Notamacropus eugenii: one gene and its partners. The protein of the gene in region 1 binds, or shares a complex with, the protein of each later gene. Links are inferred from orthologs where the notes say so. Each region holds a gene or a part of one and is shown in the gene's direction. Other genes may lie near its edges. The genes, in order: STRN, STRIP1 and PDCD10.

The links.
Region 2: STRN (region 1) and STRIP1 share a complex: the UniProt entries of both Homo sapiens proteins name them as parts of the core of STRIPAK complex. The link is inferred for Notamacropus eugenii from reciprocal best matches to the Homo sapiens genes STRN and STRIP1.
Region 3: STRN (region 1) and PDCD10 share a complex: the UniProt entries of both Homo sapiens proteins name them as parts of the core of STRIPAK complex. The link is inferred for Notamacropus eugenii from reciprocal best matches to the Homo sapiens genes STRN and PDCD10.

The regions. Positions count from the first base shown.
Region 1 is NC_092872.1:541,647,517-541,651,261, reverse strand, and holds the start of STRN (striatin), read left to right. Parts: upstream 1-1,583; 5' UTR 1,584-1,674; coding exon 1,675-1,917; intron 1,918-3,745. UniProt on the Homo sapiens protein: Calmodulin-binding scaffolding protein which is the center of the striatin-interacting phosphatase and kinase (STRIPAK) complexes.
Region 2 is NC_092873.1:288,384,941-288,388,685, forward strand, and holds the start of STRIP1 (striatin-interacting protein 1), read left to right. Parts: upstream 1-949; 5' UTR 950-964; coding exon 965-1,162; intron 1,163-3,745. UniProt on the Homo sapiens protein: Plays a role in the regulation of cell morphology and cytoskeletal organization. Required in the cortical actin filament dynamics and cell shape. Part of the striatin-interacting phosphatase and kinase (STRIPAK) complexes.
Region 3 is NC_092877.1:356,732,121-356,735,865, forward strand, and holds the start of PDCD10 (programmed cell death protein 10), read left to right. Parts: upstream 1-916; 5' UTR 917-1,064; exon of another isoform or gene 1,065-1,117; intron 1,118-3,745. UniProt on the Homo sapiens protein: Promotes cell proliferation. Modulates apoptotic pathways. Increases mitogen-activated protein kinase activity and STK26 activity. Important for cell migration, and for normal structure and assembly of the Golgi complex.

The DNA.
Region 1 (3,745 bases):
CATGGGGAGATTCCAGCTAGCCAAACATCAAATGTACTCTACCAATGGACCATTCATGGAAGAAATTTAATTTTATTGGATAATATTCCCTCCTTACTATGTGCATGGGCCTTTACTAGGGCTTTGGAAGGAGTTGTCAGAAGAGGTGATCACCAAATTAGGAGTTGGAACAAACAGTGATACTGGGCTAGCTTTCCAGATGACTGGAGCAGGAGTGAAGCCCTCTAATCTTGGCAGAAAGGAAGAAAGTGATTTCCTAAGTTCATACAGGTTTTCAGCTGAAAGGGGCCCTTAGGAGATCATCTATTCTGCCATCTTTCCAGTATTACAAAAATTTCAGTTGCGAGTTCTAGATGTGTAGATTCAGACTTAGGACCTACATGAATGACTTTGACAAGTCAATCACTTAGGTCTTCAGTTTTCTCAACTATCAAATACGGGAGCTGACCTGGAAATTCTCTTCTACATCCCAATCTAAGATCTTATGAATTAGCCCAGCAGTTCTCAAATGTTTTTATAATTAGTATTACTTTACACTCTTAGAAATGATTGAGGACCACCCTCCTCTTTGGGGTTCATGTGGTTTATATCTACTGATATTAACCATGATAGAAATTGTGTCTTATTATGAAACTAAAATGTTATCATGAAAATAGCTTTGATCTCGATTATCCCCTGAAAGGATCTCGCTGACCCCAACTGGTGAGAGGACTTAGAAAGCCTGGGTGGGCTTGGGGTGTGGGAAGAGAACGGGAATTAAGGAAAATCCTGCCAAGGTTTGGAGGGAAGTACTCCTTCAGGTCAGTGGAGGCTTCAGAGACAACATAAAAAGATCAGGCCGGGAATGGAAAACAAAACAAAACTCGTGACCACCATTTTCGTGACTTTAACTGAAATTGACGCAGCAGGGTAGAGAGGGACCGGTCCTGGGACCAATTCCCAAGACGAACTTTCGCCTAGAAGGAGGACCAGCCAGCCAGTATAACCCCGGGAAACGACAGCTCGTGGGGGAAGAGCCGAGTCGTCGATCCTTTGGTGCGTAGAGGGATGTGATATGTTTGTCTCCGCGGATCTGCGTGGGTGCATGTGCGCGACCGTGCGAGAGAGAGCGCTGTCACAGACGACTTCCTTGGGGTGAGGGTGCGTGTGCTACTTAGTTAGAGACGGAGACCGAGCGAGCGCAGAGCCCGCGAACTTCCGTGGGTGTGGGTATGTGCAAGAGAGCGCGGCCCAAGAACTTCCTTCCGTGCGTGTCGGTGTGTGTCCCGAGAAGCGGCCCGCACCCGGCTCTGCCAGGCTGAGGGGCGGGAAGGAGGACTAAGAGGTCTCCGCCACAGCTAGGCTCAGACAGCTGGAGTCTGCCAGCGCTAGTTTCTAAAGAATCCTTCCAGGCCCCCTAGCCCCTTTCCCAACTCCCGCCGATTAACGCCGCCACCCCGAGACTACATTTCCCAGCAAGCCCTCGGGGCGCGCGCGCTCTGCAATTGACCCATTTCCCGGCCCGTCAGCAGCTCGGGGGGCCGGCCAAGCGCCCGGGCAGCCGCTCCCTGCTGACTCGGAGTGTGGGCGGGGAGAGGAGGGCGGAGGGAAGAGGAGGAGGCGCCGTTGCTGCCGTTTGCCTCGGCGGCTGCGAGAGCCGGCACCGGTCCGCAGCAGGCTGCCGCCACGGCCGCCATGGACGAGCAGGCGGGGCCCGGCGTCTTCTTCAGCAACAGCCACCCGGCGGCAGCCGCGGGCGTCAAGGGGCTCGGGCCCTTGGCAGAAGCGGCGGCCGCGGGCGACGGGGCGGCTGCGGCGGCGACGGGGGCGGCCCGAGCCCAGTACAGCCTCCCAGGGATCCTGCACTTCCTGCAGCACGAGTGGGCCCGCTTCGAGGTGGAGCGCGCCCAGTGGGAGGTGGAGCGGGCGGAGCTGCAGGTAGAGACCCTCCCGGCCCGGCCCTCCTCCTCCCGCCTCTTTCCTCCCTCCTTCCTCCCTCCTCGCCCCGCCCCTGCCGCTTCCTCCCAGCCTCCCGCCTGTCCCCTCCCCCTTCCCTCGGTTCCGCCCACCCCGCCGCGAGAGCCCCTTCACCTCGCCCCACCCACTCTGCCTCTACCTGCTCTAGTCCCCGGCCGCCCCTCCCGTGTAATGGAATGAAATGATGTTTGTGGAGCGCTGGGCGCGGCGCCTGGACGGAGGAGGCCCTTGGGAAATGCCTCTTCCCTGCCCTGCCCTGCCCCCCCCCCCCCCCCAAAGCTGCTCCCCCGTCGTCTCCTGGTCCTGCTCGGAGCTCGGGTCTTTTCCTCCTTAGTTGAAGATTGATAAGCAGGGTCCCGGACCGCTCCACTTCCGAGAGTCATGCCCCGCGTCGGGGGGCCAGAGCCAGAGAGCTCCCCGCAGGGTTGAGGGGTCAGCGCTTGGCCAGACGTGGTGTTTTCCTGTAGATTCTCTTCTCGGTGAAAGAAAGGAAATGAGAGGACAGATGAAGTTGTATGGCCAGAGGTGGGAAACGGAAAAGGGAAAAAATAGTATCTTCAGAAACAGAAAATTCCTATATATTCGAATCTCTGCCTTATGCCGCAGTGCGTTTCACCCACTGATTTTAGATCCGAGATGTCTGAATGAATGGAGGGTCAGAAGTCAAGTTCTTTACTTAAGGGAAACTGATTTGTTAAGATTTAAAAACAAAAAAAACCCCCACACCACAGATTCTCTGGGGGGAAACAAACAGAAACCTCGACCAAATATAAAAACTTTTTGTCAAGAGGTTTTTTTCCAGATTGAATTTTTCTTTGAAGGAAGTTGAGGTCTGTTAAAGGGAGTCACATTAGTGATAGGCTGTACAACGCCTTGTTTTGAGATAAGATATGTCCGCTCCAGACTGGGTGTTCACAGGCTTTGCACAGTTAATCCCTTCACCGTGCCTTAAGTCCTGAGATAGAGCGATCTTTAATAACTAAATGTTCAGTCCTGTGGTAGGCACTGTCCTGGGGATACAGAGAAAGGGGAAGAAAAGAGGGGGGGAGGTTCTGGCTCTCAAGGAACTCATCTTCTAGTAGGGGAAACACCATGCAGATAATTATATAGAAGGTACCATCTAAATGAAAAGTAACTCAGCAGGGAAGACCGGAGCAGAGGGGGGATGAGAAAGGCCTCTTGCAGAAGGTGGGATTGGGTTCTCTATGTGCCTGCTATGTCTTGAGTATAGCCTGTGGTTCCTTGATATACAGTTTACCTACTTACGTGGGAAAAGCTGAATAGTACTGTGGAAAGAGGACAAATTTGGAGGGCACAAAACTTGTGTGTTTGAATCCTGCCCCCTTTACTTCCTGTCTTGACATGGGCAAGTCACAGCTTCTCTGAGCCTCATTTCCTCATCTAGAAAACAGGGAGTGTGTGAGGATTAAATGATCTCTTGTTTTCATTGCAGCTCTAAATCTATGATCCAACAGGTATGTCCTGTTTCCTTGATAGAATATAAGTTCCTTGAATGCAGATCGTCTCATTTTTTTATTTTGTATCAGTATTGCCTAGCCCAGTATAGATATTTAGTAAATGATGAATAAATACTTGTTGATTGGATACTCTGGAAACAAGGATATCACCAACTGAATATCACCTTTTTTTAAAAATGGCAACTTTTCCTTGTTAGTCTCCAATATAAGTGGTTTGTTCAAGTGCTCCCAATTACTGCTTCTAAACAATCTCATTCCCCCACCCACAAAAAAAACCGGTTAAACAAAGCAACTTAAGTGATAATAACTTG
Region 2 (3,745 bases), on another chromosome or scaffold:
CCTTGGTATAGGGAACTCCCCCCACCACCAGAAAAATCCCCAAACAAAAGACTCCAGTGCAGGCTGACACTTTTTTAGCATCTTAAAGGTTGGGGAAACTGTTTTAGAAGCAAGAATTAGCCCTAGGTCTTCCAAAAGTCATGGAGCTGGAAGGAACCTAAGATGCCATCTGATGGATCCATTTTACAGATGAAAAAAGGGAAATTACTTCTGTCCCATGGGACAGAGGCACCAAGATGGCACATGATGACGACTTGCTGGCCTGCTGCTAGTACACTGGCCTATCCCCTCCCCCCACTTCATTTACTAAGAAGGAGGCCTAAGTGGGAGGCAGAGAGGGGGCAGTGGACCTCCAGTCTGACTCCCCTTGGCCGCCCTTTCCACTGACCCTCCGCTGGAGAGCTCAGAGCAGCGGTCAGCAGGGTGCGAGGTCAGTTTCTTCCAGTCCAAACGAGCTTTGCCTAACAAATAGCATTGGAAAATAGTGAGCCCGTAACCTGACTCTGCAGCCAGGGGGCGCCATAGTAACCAGAGCGGGACCTGGAGCCACGAAGACCCCGCCTTCTGAGTTCAAATTCAGCCTCAGACCCGTACTAGCAGTGTGACCTTGGGCAAGTCACTTCACGCTTTTTGCTTCCGTTTCCTCACCTGTAAAATGAGCTGGAGAAGGAAATGGAAGATCACTTCAGCATTTTTTGCCATGAAAACCTCAAATGGGGTCACACGACTGAAAAACGACCTACCAACTACCACAGTCCGACCGTGCGTCGTGTTGCGGGGCGCCCGAGAGGTATTCCAGGCTAAGACACCCTAAAAGGTTGCCGCGCTCAAGATGGCGTCTCCCATTCACCGCCACACTCATTATGGCGGAAGTGAGGGGGCGCGGCAGGGTTAGGGGTCAAATCTCGCGAGAGAAGCGGCCCCACGGCCATGCGAGAGTTGGGCTGGGGCCGCAGGAGCCAAGATGGAGCCGGGAGGCGGTGGGCCAGGCCCTCTGATCGTGAACAACAAGCAGCCGCAGCCCCCGCCGCCCCCGCCTCCCGCGTCCCCGCAGCCCCAGGCCGTGGCCCCGCGGACCGCCGGCGGCGGCGGGGGCGGCGGGGGCGTCCTGCCCGGGGGCAAAGGGCGGGAGTTCAACCGCAACCAGCGCAAGGACTCGGAGGTCAGGGGGGGGGCGAGGGCGAGGGCGAGGCCGGGCCGGGGTGGGCAGGGGCGGGGCCCTGGCGGGGGCGGGGCCTAGGAGCGGCCGCTGACCGGGCGCTGTCCGTGCGCTGTCCGTGCGCTGTCCGTGCGCTGTCCGTGCGGCGGGGGCCGGAGCCGGAAGCTGTGCGAGGCCCGAGGCCCCGGGGGCTCGGAACCGCGGCGGCCGTGGGTGGGCCCGGGGCGACCTCGGCCTCCCGGGCTGAGGAGGGAGCTGGGCGGCGCCCTCCGGAATGGACCGACGCCCTCGTCGGCCGCGGTGCCCCTGCCCTCGGAGAAGCCACTTGAAGGCCGGCCACCCGCTCCTCCTCCTCGGTCGTCGGGCCATCTTCGCCTGGGTCACCTCCAATCTCCCGACCTGGGTGTGAAAACCAGAAAGTGCGCCTTGGCCCCGAGCGCCGCCCTGGCTACGCCCGAGTCATTCACCGGCTCGGGAGTAGTTCCGCCCACCGGCCTCATGAATGAAAATACACGTTGGGGTTTCCTTTTTTTAAAAATTAGGTCACCTTAATCAGCATATTCCCCAGCACTTCGCTGTTCCTTGGAGAATCATGCTTCCTGAGATAGTCACTGGGAAGGAGAGGGGACCGAACTCCTTCACCAGGAATTTTCTGACCCGGTGGCCGAGGGAGGCAGGCGTCTGTCAGGGAGCCGGCTCTTAGGGAATGTTGTCACATTTTCAGTAGTTCGGTCTTTAAAGCCCCAAACTGGCCGATCTCAGAGGAGCCTCACCGTCGGCGAGACGGTGGTGATTAATTCAGCCAGTCTGTATTGGCGGCCTACCCAGTCTGGATGAGGAAGGCGCCCAGCTCTGGCCCCGCTCTGTGCCCGGCCCTGTGCCCGGCTCTGGCCCAGCTCTGGCCCCGCTCTGTGCCCGGCTCTGGCCCAGCTCTGGCCCCGCTCTGTGCCCGACCCTGTGCCCCGCTCTGTGCCCGGCTCTGGCCCAGCTCTGTGCCCGGCCCTGGGCCCCGCTCTGTGCCCGGCCCTGGGCCCCGCTCTGTGCCCGACCCTGTGCCCCGCTCTGTGCCCGGCTCTGGCCCAGCTCTGTGCCCGGCCCTGGGCCCCGCTCTGTGCCCGGCCCTGTGCCCCGCTCTGTGCCCGGCTCTGGCCCAGCTCTGTGCCCGGCCCTGGGCCCCGCTCTGTGCCCGGCCCTGGGCCCAGCTCTGGCCCCGCTCTGTGCCCCTTGTGTGACAGGCACCGTGAGAATGCAGGAGAGAGGGGCCAGGGAAGGCCGCCCGGAGCTGGCGTTGGGTCTGAGGCTGACCTTGGAGGGGGGCCTTTAGCACGGGGCCCTGTGCAGTGGTGAGGAGGGCCCGCAGGTAGCGGCAGAGGGGGGCAGAGAAGAAGCGGGGCCGCGGAGTCCCAGAAGATCAGAGTTTGGCTTTAACCCGTCGGCAGTGAGGAGCCACTGAAGATGGGCAGCGTTGGTTGTACGAGAGGATAATTAATGGCGCAGCGGTATGTTAGATGGACGAGAAAGAGGAAAGAGTGGGGACCCTGGAAGCAGCACTGCCTTTGACCGGCTTATTACCAGTGTGGGGAATCCCCACCGTTCCGAGCCTTGGTCAAGTGAGTGACTTGCATTGGATGATCTCCAGGGACCCTTCCAGCTTTCAGTCTCTGGTCCTGTGATCGATGGGGAAGTGTTGGAGTCGAGAAAAGCCTGAACTGGTTGGTAATGATACAACAGAGGAGGCTTATGGAAGTAGAATCCACGAAAATGGTGATTGGCTGGTTGTGGAAGGAGAGGGAGAAACTCAGCTAATTGCCTGAGTTATTTGAACCTTGAATGATTAGGTACGTTAGAATAAAGAAGTCAAAAGAGGAGCTTGTGTCCTTGAGAGGAGAGATAAAAGTGATGAGTCAGATTTCATGTATGTTGAGTTTGAGGTGTTAGCAAGACATTGATTTAGAGATGTCCAGAAGAGAGCTGAAAACTGGTCCAAGGTCAGACAGGTTAGGACTAAAAGAGATTTTCAGTTATCCCCGTAAAGGTGATGGCTAAAGTAGTAGGAGTGGATAAGTGTATGTAGAAAGGAAGATCCTTGAGGGAGATCCCCAAGAGGCAATTTGGAAAAAATGCTGATTTTAGAGTCATAGGACCTAGATTAGAAACCTGGTTATTTTCAGAGTATGAGCTCAGACAAGTCTTTCCATTTCTCTTGGCCCCAGTTTGTAAAATGGGGGATTTAAATTAGATTATTTTAAAGACACTCTCCAGCTCTAAATCTTGTGACCTCACATTTACCTGGGTAAGGAGAAACAGAATAATCTAAGAAGTAGGTGTAGAAACAGAATGTGATATCACAGAAGCCAAGGAAAAAGAGAATTTCAGGGAGGGAAAAGTGAGTTGTGTCATGCTACACAAAGTTCAAGAAGGGTTCAGACTGAGAAGAAGCTCTAGAAATGACCTTTATGGTAGTGAATTATATGTCATAATTCAGAAGCAATTGCCCATCTCCCTAGTTAGCTGTCAACAGCGTGCTATAGAAATGTTTGTCGACACTTCCTCCATGTGCCTCAATTTTTACTAAGATCCAGTAGA
Region 3 (3,745 bases), on another chromosome or scaffold:
ACTGTTTCAGCACTGCCTTCAGCTCTTACTGCTGCGGAAACTCCGCCCCTCCGGGTGGCAAACGAAGCTGCCGCCGTCGCTCCTCCCTCCCCCTCCTCCTCCTCCTCCTCCTCCTCCTGCTGCTCTCGTGGTTACTCCAGCTGCGGATGCTCTTCCACCCTCCGGCTTCCCTTACCTTTCCTGGGCTGGAGGCTTTAGCTTCTGCTCCCCCCTCGCTATCTTACCGCTCCACCCCACCCCCAACTTTCCCTGTGTCTTCCCACCTCCGACTTCTATTGTTTCACCGTCCGCCCCGCCGGTTGCTCCCACACCTGCTGCACCTGCATGTGCCTCTGGATCGGGGAGGGAAGGAGGAGATGCTCCTATCTCCACTGGACCCTCCACCTCCCCCAGCTCAGCCGCCCCTGCCCCTCCCGGGAAGGGTACAGGAGTTGGGCGATGACAACTGCCCGCGGCCCCGTCTGGTTGAGCCCGAGAAGCTGCTGCCACTGCTCCTGTTAGAGCGAGTCGCTCAGAGCTCCCGTGCCCTCCACCCCACGCTAACCCCGGGGGTCCCTCCTAGCACGCGCCTCCCTCAGAGCCCAGAGCCACCCCAGGGGCTACCCTAGGCGTGCACCAGCCTCCTCCTCTACCTCCGCCTCCTCACCCCCGCCCGAGCCGAAGCCCGAGCCGACCACCCTCCCTGATTGGGCCAGGTGAGCCAAGACTCCTCCCCTTCTCTCGGATCCCCAGCCCACCCTCCCTTCCTCTCAGCCCCGCCCAGGGGAGCGAGAGGGCCTAGACGATTGGTTCGCGACGTCCCCACCCATCTCCTGGAGCCGCTCGCAGGGACCGCTGGGTGATGTAGTCCGATCCGGGTTCACGGCTGTGGGCAGGGCCGAAGGCTGAGACTACGAGCCCCCATCGGCCCGTGCGCGGCTCCGGCTGGGCAGGATTCCGGACAACGCCTGGTTCCTCTCGGCTCCTTCCGGCGTTGCCGGAGTGAATTGATCCGGGAGTTGAAGAGGCTCCGGAGGTGGGAAGTGGAGTCTGCTTCGGAGCTGCTGGCGCCGCCACCTCCAAGGGTAGGGCTGCCCTGCCGGCCTCGACCTCGCTGCGCCCCGGTGGGCGAGGGTAGGTGCGCCGGGGCCCGGGAGCCCGCGGGGCCCTGCGGGCGTCGGGCGGTGACTAGACGCGAGCGGCCTCCAGCGGGCTCATCGAGGCCGCCCGAGCGCGGGCCTCCCTCCCGGCCTCCGGCCTCCCTCCCCGGGGCCGCCGTCCAGGAAGTGGCGGCAATGGCTGGGGGCAGGCCTCGGCCGCCGAGGCCGGGAGGGGGCGGATGTGCCTCGGGTGGGGTCCGCTCCAGGTGTGGGAGGAGGAGCCAGGGACGGCGGTGGGGGAGGCTGGAGCCCGGAGCGGGCCCTGCGGGGTAGGGCGAGGAGGGAAGGGCCGGGGCTCGCGGCCCAAGGTCGGGGGTCACCGGCGTCCTCCCTGGACGGAGGCCTGCCGGACAAGGCGGGAGCCTCGGGGCCCCAGCTGCCCAGGCGTCCAGTCGGATCGCACACAGTAGGCGCTTCATAAATGCTTGTTCCCTTCCCACAGCCATTCCTTATTCTCCCTGTCTGTTGGAGTAGCGTCTGACTTCCCTGACTGGAGTGGGGGGGGCAGATCTATCACCTGGAACATCTGTGCCCCCCCTCATTGAAAATTAAACTCGTATTTGCCCTGCTGGGCCGCTTGGGGGGATCCTTGGCCCCCCCTGGACTCCGTGCCCCCGCCCCCGCCCCATCTCTGTGTTGAATAGGGAGTGTCTGAGTTGGAGAAGCCCCCCTTGGACGGCGATCGCTGCCCAGGTGCAGAACTTCTCTGTACCAAGTTTGTGCCCCACCCAGCCGGGCTCCAGGCTCCCTTGCAGTCGCTGTTGGGCTTCTCCACCCCTATGTCTCATCCTCACCTGCTCTTTTGGCCTCCTGAGGGCTGTAGAACTACAGGCATCCCGATGAGTCTGTGGCCAGCATCCATCGGCTCAAGTATTTTAACTTTAAAGGTGCATCTGAGTGCCTGTCATCTGAAAAAAAGTTGTGCAAGATTCATGGAAAGGGAAGAGGATCTGACTCACTTCTGGTTTTTTATCCTTGTATTGGAGGAGTCAGGTGATGGAAAGAGCACTGGATTGGAGCAGGAAGACCTGGTTTAGAATCTTAGCTGTGTGGCCTCCAGCAAGGCCATTAAGTGTCCTTGGCTTCACTTTCCTAATTTGGGAATTGAGTTACTTGCGCTAGATTGCCTCTGAGATCCTGTCCCAATCAGAAATCCTGCGATCTTGGGAATGGCTTTGGTAACTGATAAGAAGTGACAACTTATTCTTGTCTAATATAGGAAAGTCATTTCAGGACATAGGAGAACTTTAACGTGCTGCTTTTTCCTTCCACCAGGTCTCCCTTTGTTTAAAAAAAAATCTTTTTACAGAAGTACAGTACTTTGAAGTTGGTACTTCTAGAACAGTTTGCTCATACACTGATATTTCAGAGACTTAGAAAACAAGTTTAGTATGTCAGTATAGGGAGGTTACATAACTGATAATGTATGGGTTACCTCTCAGTGATTTACATTGACTTTTTGCCACCTTCAAGAATAATTTCAAAATTCAGCTCTCAGAGAAAATATTGCTGTTTAACTACATTGGTAGATAACATATAATATGTCCTGCAAGTCACATGATCTACCTCCCCTATTTTTTTTTTTAAGGATTTACATTCCTGAGAAGATTTCACAGTAAGGAACGAAGGAGATTGGGGTAAAATTTGTAGTTTCTATTAGGCTGAGAATAATGAAAAGGGACCTAGCACCCTCTGCCATGATAATTGCATGCTATGACTCTATGTAGTTATCTACACTAATATAGGTCTGGTATTAGGTATTATGATAGAAACTTTTAACAGAAATTCATAAAATGTTAAGTGTTCCAAGTTAAGATAAATTGACCTCAAAAATCATATCTAGTTATAGTCAGCCATCTCCACATAATTTGTTCTCAAGATATTTACTCAATTTTTTATAACAAAGAAAGCCCTGGCAGACTCTGTGTGTGTGTGTGTGTGTGTGTCTGTGTGTCTGTCTGTCTGTCTGTTTTACATGCTGGTCACTGTCTAATAGGTTTCCCTAGGTTCCTTTTATGACTTGAAGTTTGGAATAATGAGGGAATTTACCAAGATCCAAAAAGGATATTATGATAAAAGTCAACTTCAAGATAGAATAGAGATCCAAAATCAAAAGAATGAAATATAAAAGAGAATTACATATCAGTTATAATACACGTAAAAGGGAGAAAAGTCATCAAATTATTTAAGAACAATCAGCATTTGTTATGTCGGAGGAATCCTTCAAGATCCATCTGATGGCACCTTTTCCATGAAGTCTTCCTTGATCACTTAGCTAGATGTGGTTTCCATTTTTCATACGACCATCACCCTGACTTTCCCTCAGCATTTGTTTATTATAATCATTACTATAATTATTAATAGCCAATGGACATTTATTAATCACCTACTATGTACTGGGTTCTGTACTAAGCACTAGGGATTCAGATAAGAAAAAGAAGACCAGTCCCTGACCTCAAGGAGCTTACTGTCTACTAGAGAAAGAGTACACTGAAGAAGCTGAAAGGAGGAGGGGAGAGCCAGCGCCAGACTGTCTGGCCAGTGCTAACTCAGAACCAAGCAGAGCAGCTGACGGAAGATGAAGAGAAGGTTGGGAATTCTGAGCT